3 linked regions of the Kluyveromyces lactis genome follow. The protein of the gene in region 1 interacts with the protein of each later gene in a pairwise test. Links are inferred from orthologs where the notes say so. Each region holds a gene or a part of one and is shown in the gene's direction. Other genes may lie near its edges. The genes, in order: DOP1, NEO1 and MON2.

Region 1 (4,145 bases):
TAAATGAAAAACTTAAATGAGATCAACCAAAACCTCGAGGCATTGACACCATCAGTGTGGATATTTGAGCATACTTATAATAAGCTGGCTCTTTTGCTTTTACTTGGATATTTGAATTCATAAGAAATAAATTTCCACCACCTGATACAATGCCATTGAACGCTGTTAGAGTTGCCTCAAAGGCTCAACCTGCAAAGAACGTGATTCTTGTCTTCCATGGCCTAGGTGACTCAGGTTCGGGTTGGAGTTTCCTAGCTGAATACTTGCAAAGAAGCCCTGCTTTTGCGCATACAAGGTTTGTGTTCCCTAATGCTCCAAATATGAGAATCGATGCGAATGGAGGTATGTCTATGCCTGCTTGGTTCAATATTTACGACTGGGCGAATCCAGATGCCAGAGTAGACGTTGAAGGGATTAAATCTTCTTTGAAAGTAATTAACAGTTTCATTCAAGAACAAATCGATGATGGTATCTCACCCGAAAACATCATTCTTGGTGGGTTTTCGCAAGGCGCTGCATTGACTTTAGCTAGTACGGTTACTTCTCCTTATAAACTTGGTGGTTTCTTTGCACTATCAGGATTCTGTCGTTTAAAGAAAGAAGACTTAGATTCAATTGCCGAAAATAAGAATAAAGATACACCAGTGTTCCACGGACATGGAGACCAGGACCCTATTATCCCAATTCAATACGGTTCAGACGCTAAGAAGTTTTTCGAAAAATATTTCCATCTGTCAGATTATGATTTCAAATCATATAGAGGCATGGCTCACTCTACTTCTCTAGAAGAAATGCAAGATTTGGTTCAATTTTTGAGCAAAGCTTTAAAACTTTGATATATCAATTTCGTCAATAGATGAAGCTTGAAACAAGCTTGAGAAAGCATAGCCTTGAATTAATGGGCTACATTGTCATTCAAAGAAAACTGTTCTTTTTTAAATATAATAATTCTGCCTGTATTTACTAGTCATATGCACCTCAATGTTTTGGCAAGTATATCAATATAGAGGACGCCGTGGCCAGGTTTAGAGGCGCATGCTACTCTGCTCTTCTATCTGATCAACTTGCATTACATTTTACAGTCACTTCTGACGTGTCCGTTGCCATTCATTGGGATTTGACTGTTTGGTTAAAGACACTTTTAATATAATAATAACAAAATATATAAAATTATAAGGTTTGACCAAAGAATGATGCATCAGTACCGAGATAAGGAAGAACATCAAGACAAACTGCCCCTCTGAAACTTGACTTATCGGCATAGAAAAAAAACAGCCATGTCGTTGCCATTGAGGCCCTTGTCTCTAGATGTGAACACAAAGCAGCTAGATTCTAAACAGAAGAAGTTCCACCAGGCTGTGGAAAGGGCATTGCAACATTTCGATGCTGTCACGGAATGGGCTGACTATATCAGCAGCTTAGGAAAGCTTCTCAAGGCTTTACAAAGTTGGTCTCCTAAATTCCAGAATGTTAAATACTACGTTCCATATCCTTATCAGGTTGCTAGAAGATTGTCTTCATCATTATCTCCAAACTTACCTTCAGGAGTTCATTTGAAAACATTAGAGGTTTATAATTACATTTTTGAGAAGATTGGGCCCGACACTTTGGGGAAGGAAGTGAATATTTGGATAGGTGGCGTTCTACCCTTGATGTCTTATGCGTCCATATCGGTTAAACATCCATTGATTGAACTGTATGAGAAATACATTGTAAGTCTATCTTCTGTTACGTTGAAAATTATAGTGAAACCTGTGTTGGCAAGTTTGTTCCCAGGGATCGACGACGAAAGTAGTGAGTCGCAAGCAAGTACCATAAATTTGATAGAGACTCTTTACACTAATCTAGATGATCCCTCTTTATTTTGGCAAACTTCTTTCATTATTATAATCAATAATAAAGATAGAAGATTGGGCGGTCTAGTGTGGTTGACGAAAAAGTTACCATCGTTAAATGCAGTTCCTCATTTAGCTGCAAAGGAAAAGGACACAGCTTTAACTAAAAAGGATTCGAAGGAGAGGAAAGAATTTGCTTTGTCGTTGTTACTCGATGCCTCCAAACCAGTAGTTTCACCCGAGCCAGGTTTGCTAATAAGATCTTTTGTTAGATGTCTTGAAGATGAGAACGAAATCCTAATCCAAAGAGGTATTTTGGACTTACTTTTGCAAAGGTTGCATTTGCATTCACCATTGTTGCAAGTGTTAGTTAAACCTTCCGACTGTCGGCTCTTAATCATGACGGCATGCAGAACAATGTTGAAAAAAGACATGTCTCTCAATAGAAGAATATGGAACTGGCTGCTTGGACCAGTACTAGATCCAGAATCTGGAGATCATAGCGATTCCGAGTATTTTATCAAGAACGGTGCTCAACATTTGTTAGGCGGATTGCATGAGATGCTCGAACACCCTCAGACGTGCATCGATGCTTACAAAATCGTGTCTGCGTTGATGGATCGCTGGCAAATTGGATCTTATTTAACACCGAAAATATTCATCCCACTTATCGAGAAATGCAGAGAGTACTCGGACAATCAATTAGTATTGAAAACAGCGTCTTCTTTCTTTGATTCTGTCGAAACTAATATCATTTGGGGGAAGCTTTTCGAAAAAGTGTTTTGCGATAATGACTATGACCTTCTAATATATGTGCTACAAAATTTCCGCTGTTCCACTGATGAAGAAATAACAGTACGTCACTTGCCGCTAATTCTACTATCGTTACTATGTCAGAGTTCGATTGAAATTCCAAAGTGTACTCAAATATTAGAAATTCTTGTACGAATGATACCTGAAAGAGCCTACTTGCCCATTCATCACTCTTCTTTATCCCAGGGAAGCACGCTATCCTATGAGAAATGCTTTACTGATATCAAATCTTACTATGAACAGGTGTCAGATCCTCTTAATTCCAAAGATCTAAATTCGTCATCTGATTTAAGTCCTCCTTTCAATACGGCAGATCTAACTTTTTTAATCACTTATAGAGTGCATTTACTGTTGATCGAAAATATTCGAAGATATCAAAACATAAATGATATTTCGAAATTGTTTGTATTATTCATTGAAATAATCCCCGAGCAGTATGATGTATCAGAAGAAGCTGAAGTGGTGAAGTGGTCAGATACTGATTTGATAGAGTGTATCTTTGAACAAAATGATGCAATCGAAAGTGCTCCTGAACAGTCACTACAAGGAATTGTTGAGATTTACACTAAATATTTGTTCCGTAATTTACCGATATTGGATTCGATGCGACTATTAAAGATAATTATGAAAGGGCTGTGGTCATTACTCTTAGATCATAATAAACAAATTGACGCAGTCGAAATGCTCAAAGTCATAACAAGACATGTTCCATCGTCAAGAATTGAAAGCTGCTTAGCTTCTGTTTATTTGGGGGATTGCGACATTAACAATCGTCTAGTTGTTCTAGACTGCCTCTGGACTCATCTAGCAGGTAACTTTGATATTATAAAAAGACCTTTGTCCCTAGCTTTGGACGAACTTTCTGATGAAAAGAATTCTAACTACTGGTATGTGCATGAATGGGTGGTATCTATCATTTCTGGTGAATCCGGAAACAAGTTCTTTGAACTTTTGGTTGAAAACCCCCTTCAATTTGAGTTTATAAATAACGAAAAGATTGGCAATATGGACGATTTGGCGCTATTTACTTATCATCTTGATGTTTTGAGAAATGTTTTAAAAACCCCAGACACTGTGGTCTATAAAGCTTTCGGAATTCAATTAGTAACTGAAAAATTATCCAAGGACTGGGCGGCCGAAGACGTATCGTCATATAAAAGCTTGGTTATTGCTGTGCTGCTAAAATTTCTAAGTATCCAAAATGACGCACCTGGCAATAGCATAAAAAGTGCATTATCTCTTTTAAGTTTGCTTGTCAACGGTACTGAAATAAATTTCAAGAACATTGTGACGAGATTGCTCCAAATTTCTACGGAATACATTGCCAGTAAAGTTCCTGATTCTCAAGTTGTTGTCGTATCTTTGCTACAAATAATCTCACAGGTGCTATCTTTATCGGATAAAAGACAAATTAAGCTTGACATCTTTACCGAGGACTCTTCGCATATGAAATATGTTGATTTTCTTGTATCTACAGTAAGTCATATTGATGATGAC
Region 2 (4,294 bases), on another chromosome or scaffold:
GATGAAAACGATATAACAGCAGTGTGATAGTTTATCCGATAGTATTGAAGACTATAACAAATGTTCTAATATGTTGAAGTGCATGATGACGCATCTCATCTGCCGATGAGATTGGCCATACTTTCTCCAATTAAGATGTGTTACCTATTTTAGCAGAAACGTTGCACTTGGAATATTCATTTAATCATATGTGATTGGTTCAGCAATAGCTATTCGTATGAATAATTACATCAAAATTGCAATAAAATACTAACAGAATTTCCCGTTTTTCATTACAGACAACACCAAGTCTAACAAGATCAAGGTTGTTAAGACCCCAGGTGGTGCTTTGCGTAGTCAACACGTCAAGAAGTTGGCTACCAGACCAAAGTGTGGTGACACCGGTGTTCCATTGCAAGGTGTCTCTACCTTGAGACCAAGACAATACGCTACTGTCTCCAGAACCAAGAAGACCGTTTCCAGAGCCTACGGTGGTTCCAAGTCTGCTAACGCCGTCAAGGAAAGAATCGTTAGAGCTTTCTTGATCGAAGAACAAAAGATCGTCAAGAGAGTTATCAAGGAACAAACCGAAGCTGCCAAGAAGGCTGAAAAGAAGGATGCTAAGAAGTCTAAGAAATAAGTTATCTAATTCAAAAATAAAGGTCACTCTATAAAATGTTATCGAATGGATTTTCTTTCACATATATGAATAAAGAACATGGAATACCGAACCACGAATTATCTCATCAAAATTTTGTTAACACCCCCAACTATGCTTGTCAATGAGGTAGGAAAATCTTGATAACCGTTTCCAGGAACTGGTTTTCGTTGAGCCCAATTATAAATCAAAAATTGAACACATAAGTTGAAGATCGTTTGTTACCAGTTTTGCAGATCTCGAGTGTTTCCGGCTGTTTTTCTGTCGTATTCATATGCACGATCGCATCTTTCGCTAACATGTTTTTATTATTAATTCTCATATTTTGTACCTCATTTTTACTTATACTTATTTTTAAACTATCATGGTCATGTAATCTTTTATTATTATCGTTACACTAATCTTCCACTTTATTTTCATAGTAAGAGATGTTCAAGAACTATTGCGTATTTACATTAATTCATAGTTTGAAAGCACTAAATGATTGGGCCAAATAAACCCTATACTTACTCTTTCCCGATCTGATTTCGTATACTAATGTATTACCGGCACTTTGTGCTTGTATTTTGACATCTATATTTTTGTGCATTTTACTCTTATATCTGTCGTTCTCATTAATTTTTGGTCCTGTGATTGCAAAAAGCTCCATAATTCTATCATTTAAAAAAGGGCTTTGCAGACAAATCGAATCTGCATAATAATATTAAACATATATTGTAAACACAGTGGCTAAATCCAACAATAGACTGTATGGAAACATCATCTCCATTGTTAGGCTATCTGTAAATATAACTCGTTAGTCGTTCTCACCCAAATGTCCTTTTCGCCTCCACCTGGTTCACAGATCCCAAATAAATATTCAAAATCTAATCAGCACCAAGCTCAAAGTACAGACCGCGACTCATTTGATCTACAATTCGAGGACTCTTTAGACGCTGCGTTAGAATCTTTACAATTACCTGAGCATTCTCATAGAAGGGAAAACAGTACTGTTTTCGAAGATTTTGAGATGAAATCAATGCATGGCGATCACCAAACTGGTATGTTACATTCCGATGCAGATACCGCTCCATTGATAACAAATCACAGTAACAACGGAAGGATGTTGTCAAATAGTGATAGAAACGCACAAAATACTAATAATATTACTGTATGGTCAAAAGCTAAAAGTTGGTTTGAACATTCATTTACAAAAGCAAAATCGAAGCCATCCTCTTTATCTGTGTACAGCTCTACCAATTCCGTTGACGGGAACAAAATTGAACTGAACGATCATAATGTAGAAAGAGAAATTCACCCTGCAACGACTCCCATATATGACAGAAAAAAGTACCCTTCAAATGTTATATCAAACGCAAAATATAACCCGTTTACATTCATCCCACTAATATTGTATGAACAATTCAAGTTCTTCTTCAATTTATATTTTCTAATAGTTGCATTATCTCAGGCCATTCCTCAGCTTCGTATTGGTTACCTTTCATCCTACATTGTCCCCCTAGCTTTCGTTTTGACTGTTACAATGTCTAAGGAGGCCATGGATGATATTAATAGAAGAAAACGTGACAGAGAGGCCAACAATGAGTTATATGAAGTTGTGAATAAACCCTGTCCAATACCATCGAAAGATCTAAAGGTTGGTGATATAATCAAGCTAAAAAAAGGTGCTAGGGTACCAGCAGACGTAGTAGTTTTACAAACAAATGAGCCAAATGGTGAATCTTTCATTAAAACAGACCAGCTTGATGGTGAAACTGACTGGAAACTACGTCTTGCATGTTCATTAACTCAATCTTTGACAGAGAATGATCTACTGAATAATATAACAATTACTGCATCAGCTCCTGAACATTCTATACATAACTTTTTGGGCAAGATTACCTACAAAGATTCGACTTCATCACCTCTATCCGTTGACAACACAATGTGGGAAAATACCGTCCTTGCATCATCTGCAGCCTGCATCTGTTGTATTGTTTACACTGGACGCGAAACAAGACAGGCCTTGAACACTACTAAATCAAAAGCTAAAACTGGTCTATTGGAACTAGAGATCAATGGGCTATCGAAAATTCTATGTGCATGTGTATTCTTGCTTTCGATAATGCTTGTAGCGTTTGCGGGTTTCAATAACAACGATTGGTACGTTGATATCATGAGATATTTGATTTTATTCTCCACCATCATTCCAGTTTCATTACGAGTCAACCTAGATCTAGGAAAGTCCGTGTATGCGTATAAAATTGAGCACGACAAGCAAATTGAAGATACCATCGTAAGAACAAGTACCATACCGGAAGATTTAGGACGCATCGAATATTTATTAAGTGACAAAACAGGAACTCTTACTCAAAACGATATGCAATTGAAAAAAATTCACCTAGGAACAGTATCTTATACAAATGAAACTATGGACATCGTTACGGATTTCATACAATCAATGAATTCAAGGACTTCTAATAGTACTCCTACCACTACCCGGAAAAATATTTCAGATCGTGTTATTGATTTAGTGACAACATTAGCTATCTGCCACAACGTTACACCTACATTTGAAGATGGTGAACTAACTTACCAAGCAGCATCTCCTGATGAAATTGCCATTGTTAAATTTACAGAATCAGTTGGATTGTCACTCTTCAGGAGAGATCGTCACTCAATCTCATTATTTCATGATCATTCCGGAATGAAATTGGAATATGACATCAAAATACTCTTTCCCTTCAATTCTGACTCTAAGAGAATGGGTGTCATTATCTTCGATAAACTAAAACAAGAATACTGGTTTTTACAGAAAGGAGCTGATACCGTAATGAGTAGCATCGTGGTCAGAAACGATTGGCTAGAAGAGGAAACGAGTAACATGGCTACGGAAGGTTTACGCACCTTGGTGATAGGACGTAAAAAATTGAGCACAAATCTTTTCGAGCAATTCGAAAAAGAGTACTCGGAGGCATCTTTAACAATGATGGATCGCGAGGTCCATATGCAAAATGTTGTTAGAAAATTTCTTGAAAATGACTTGGAGCTACTTGGTTTGACTGGTGTCGAAGACAAACTTCAAAAAGATGTGAAGTCTTCAATCGAATTGTTAAGAAACGCAGGTATTAAAATATGGATGCTAACTGGGGATAAAGTTGAAACCGCCAGATGTGTCTCCATATCAGCCAAATTAATCTCAAGAGGGCAATACGTTCATACTGTTACTAAAGTAAACAAACCAGAAGGTGCTCTTCATCACTTGGAGTATCTTCAAGTAAACCAAAATTCATGTCTTTTGATTGATGGTGAATCACTCGGCTTGTATTTGCAATACTTCCCTGATGAATTCTTCGATATTGTTGTAAATTTGCCCACGGTTGTTGCATGTCGTTGTACTCCACAACAGAAAGCTGATGTCGCTGTTTTTATCCGTCAAGCAACAGGAAAACGTGTTTGTTGTATCGGTGATGGTGGTAATGATGTCAGTATGATTCAATGTGCTGATGTTGGTGTCGGTATTGTGGGTAAGGAAGGTAAGCAAGCCTCGTTAGCCGCTGACTTTTCAATTACCCAATTTTGTCATTTAACCAAACTTTTGTTGTGGCACGGAAGAAATTCTTACAAAAGCTCTGCCAAATTATCTCAATTTGTGATTCATAGGGGCCTCATCATTTC
Region 3 (2,667 bases), on another chromosome or scaffold:
AGATAGGGATTTGAACATATCCTTTTCCTCTATTAGTCAGTTTTGGCTAATTGCAGACTCTCTTCGTATGCAAAAAGGAGATGCATCAGTTGAGGAATCAGAAACAAAATCCTATGATGCTCTAGTACAAAAAGGAGAAATAAACAAAATTATTGAGCAGGATTTTCCTATATCACAAAAGTTAAAGGCTTTGTGGATTTATTTACTGGTTACACTAGTACGCTGTGCATATGATCTTCGTCCTGAGGTTAAAAATGGTGCTGTGCAAACTTTCTTTGGAATTTTGGACTCAAATTTTAACCTTTTCCCATCCTGGGATCTTATTGCGTCGCAGGTTTTGAAGCTTTTGCTTTCATTTAATCTTCCTGTTGAGAACGCTAATGGGTATGCAGAATTTGTCAACATTACCTTCAAGGGATTGCTTCAGATTTATTCTAAGCACTTAACGTATTTCAACTCCCAAAATGATATGACAGAACATTGGATCATTCTTGTTTCTAAAATGGGTGATTTGATGCAATTAACAGCATATGATGTTGTTTATTCTGTTTGTAATAATTTCAAACAGCTTTTGGAAATCTCCAAGGCAATAGAGGACTTCCCAGTCTTGATTATAAGAAAATACTATGAAATTTGGAGCAGTTATAATATTGTTTACACTTCAATTCCGACGAATGACTACAGAAAGAAAACAAACTCAGATTGCTTACAAGCCTTTATGGATTGTTTCAAACCTCTATATGAGCTCCATAGGATGCACTCCTTGATCGACACAGACTTCATGGAAAAATGTCTAAGTACCATTAATGCCAGTGCTCGTTATCCATTGCTTCCGGACCATATTTCAGATAGACTAAAACCCTCTCCCCTACAAAAGTCTCTCCTTGCTGCGATTGGCACTTTTGATGAAGATCTTCCTCCTAATTTGCAGGTTTTGCTTTTAGCTCAACTTTCTGCTATTGTTGATCTACCTTTCGAAACTCGTGACAGAATTGAAAAGAAGCTTTCCGCTAAATTGGGGGACCTTACAAAGACGAAGATTCCTTCTTTCGAAGCTATCAGTTATTCGGCGTGCGAATTACTATCACAAAGGATATCTAGGCTGGAACGTCTTGATAAAACGATTATCGAAAGCAGATCATTTAGCAAGTTACTTAACAACCTTTCCCATCCGATGACCAAAAACTCCATGATTTGTCCTTCAATAGATTCCGAACGTCCCGTACTTTGGAAGTTAGCATGTGATTCATTTTGTATGCTGTCAGATAAATTGTTTTATGCCTTGGTGGCCAATTTGACCGCAACCGAAGAGGATAATGTTAACGAATATACCGCCATATTGATACAAATGCTTATCGCGACTATAGTGAAAGAAGGAAAGCAAGATGATGAAAACATCGGCATACAAGCTGTTATCATATATAAGCAGTTGAAGGAACTGTTTATAAAATGTCTTTCTTTGGGATTGTTGTCGAAAGAACAAATACAGCCATTCGGTTCTGCTTTATGGTCAAGTTCATATTATTATGAAATTGATGAGGTTGAGGACGCTGTTATCAAACAATGCGCCAACTTAGAAGATATTGTCAGACAATTTGCAAAGTTTGATTTTGACAATATCGTTGGAAGTACCAAAGAACCTGTGGCTCTGCCCAATTATAATCTCACGGCAATTTGTTTGGGAGACCTTATAGCATTTTGTACTTTACAAACCAACAAAGGTGAAATTGTGAGAGAAGTATGTTTTTCGTTCATGATCGCAAGAGTGGCATTTGTATTAAGAAAGTTCATTGCCGACCAGCAGCTTCTCAATTTACAACCCATCTCCAAGGTCAAAAGTTTAGAGCTGCAACAAGTATCCAATGGGATCTTGAGTGTACTTGCATTTTACAACACGGTGGATACTACCATACAGAGCTTCGAATTGTTGGATGACCTTTATCCGTTATTGTTGAGGGCTATCCCTCTTTCTCAGAAAGTTCCAGGACTTCAGGACACGCTATTGCAAATAGCCCTATTATATGCAAAACTAAATAAATGAGGTTGTTTTGTAAACGTTTGATTATATAACTATAGAATAATTCATTAAGAGGTTATTAGTTCTTCCACTCTAGAAGAGATATTAGGTCTTGTGATTCACAGCTCATGTTAAAGAAGGAATGATGCAAGAGTTCTTCGGTAGATGCTCTGTATTTTACATCAACGCATAAGCAAACGCTTAAGAAACGCTTTATTTCAAGAGATAGATATTCTGGATGTTTTAGCTTAGGTGTACCATTTGTTGCAATCAAATATAAGGCTTTCAATGGTTCCTCATTCAAATATGGTGGTTCACTTTCAAGCATTTCAATTGTCATAATACCTAAGGACCAAACGTCAACCTTTTCATCATACTCTCTTTGCTTGACAACTTCAGGGGCCATCCAGTAAGGAGTTCCTACCATAGTAGCTCTTTTACTTCTCTTATCGGTCAACTTAGCACAGAACCCAAAGTCAGTGATCTTAACCCGTCCTCTGGTATCAAGTAAAACGTTATCGGATTTGATATCTCTGTGAATGATGTGCTTGTCATGCAAAAATTTCAACCCTTGGCAAGTTTCGCGGACAATATATGCAATTTGTGGCTCGGTCAAAGGTGATTGACCACTGCTGCCAGTTGGGCTGTTT

What was found.
Region 2: the proteins of DOP1 (region 1) and NEO1 interact in binary tests that used the Saccharomyces cerevisiae proteins (3 or more experiments, as listed by UniProt). The link is inferred for Kluyveromyces lactis from reciprocal best matches to the Saccharomyces cerevisiae genes DOP1 and NEO1.
Region 3: the proteins of DOP1 (region 1) and MON2 interact in binary tests that used the Saccharomyces cerevisiae proteins (3 or more experiments, as listed by UniProt). The link is inferred for Kluyveromyces lactis from reciprocal best matches to the Saccharomyces cerevisiae genes DOP1 and MON2.

What each region holds. Positions count from the first base shown.
Region 1 is NC_006042.1:1,637,654-1,641,798, forward strand, and holds the start of DOP1 (Dop1p), read left to right. Parts: upstream 1-1,277; coding exon 1,278-4,145. Other genes in the region: TML25 (palmitoyl-(protein) hydrolase), read left to right, coding at 150-836. UniProt on the Saccharomyces cerevisiae protein: Required for traffic between late Golgi and early endosomes, and for the normal structure and organization of the endoplasmic reticulum. Required for normal cellular morphogenesis.
Region 2 is NC_006039.1:733,204-737,497, forward strand, and holds the start of NEO1 (aminophospholipid-translocating P4-type ATPase NEO1), read left to right. Parts: upstream 1-1,451; coding exon 1,452-4,294. Other genes in the region: KLLA0_C08371g (60S ribosomal protein eL34), read left to right, coding at 279-619. UniProt on the Saccharomyces cerevisiae protein: Flippase that catalyzes the hydrolysis of ATP coupled to the transport of lysophosphatidylserine, phosphatidylethanolamine, and phosphatidylserine from the lumenal to the cytosolic leaflet of the Golgi apparatus membrane and ensures the maintenance of asymmetric distribution of phospholipids.
Region 3 is NC_006037.1:663,330-665,996, reverse strand, and holds the end of MON2 (Mon2p), read left to right. Parts: coding exon 1-2,041; downstream 2,042-2,667. Other genes in the region: KLLA0_A07403g (uncharacterized protein), read right to left, coding at 2,097-2,667. UniProt on the Saccharomyces cerevisiae protein: Required for traffic between late Golgi and early endosomes. Required for endocytosis and maintenance of vacuolar structure.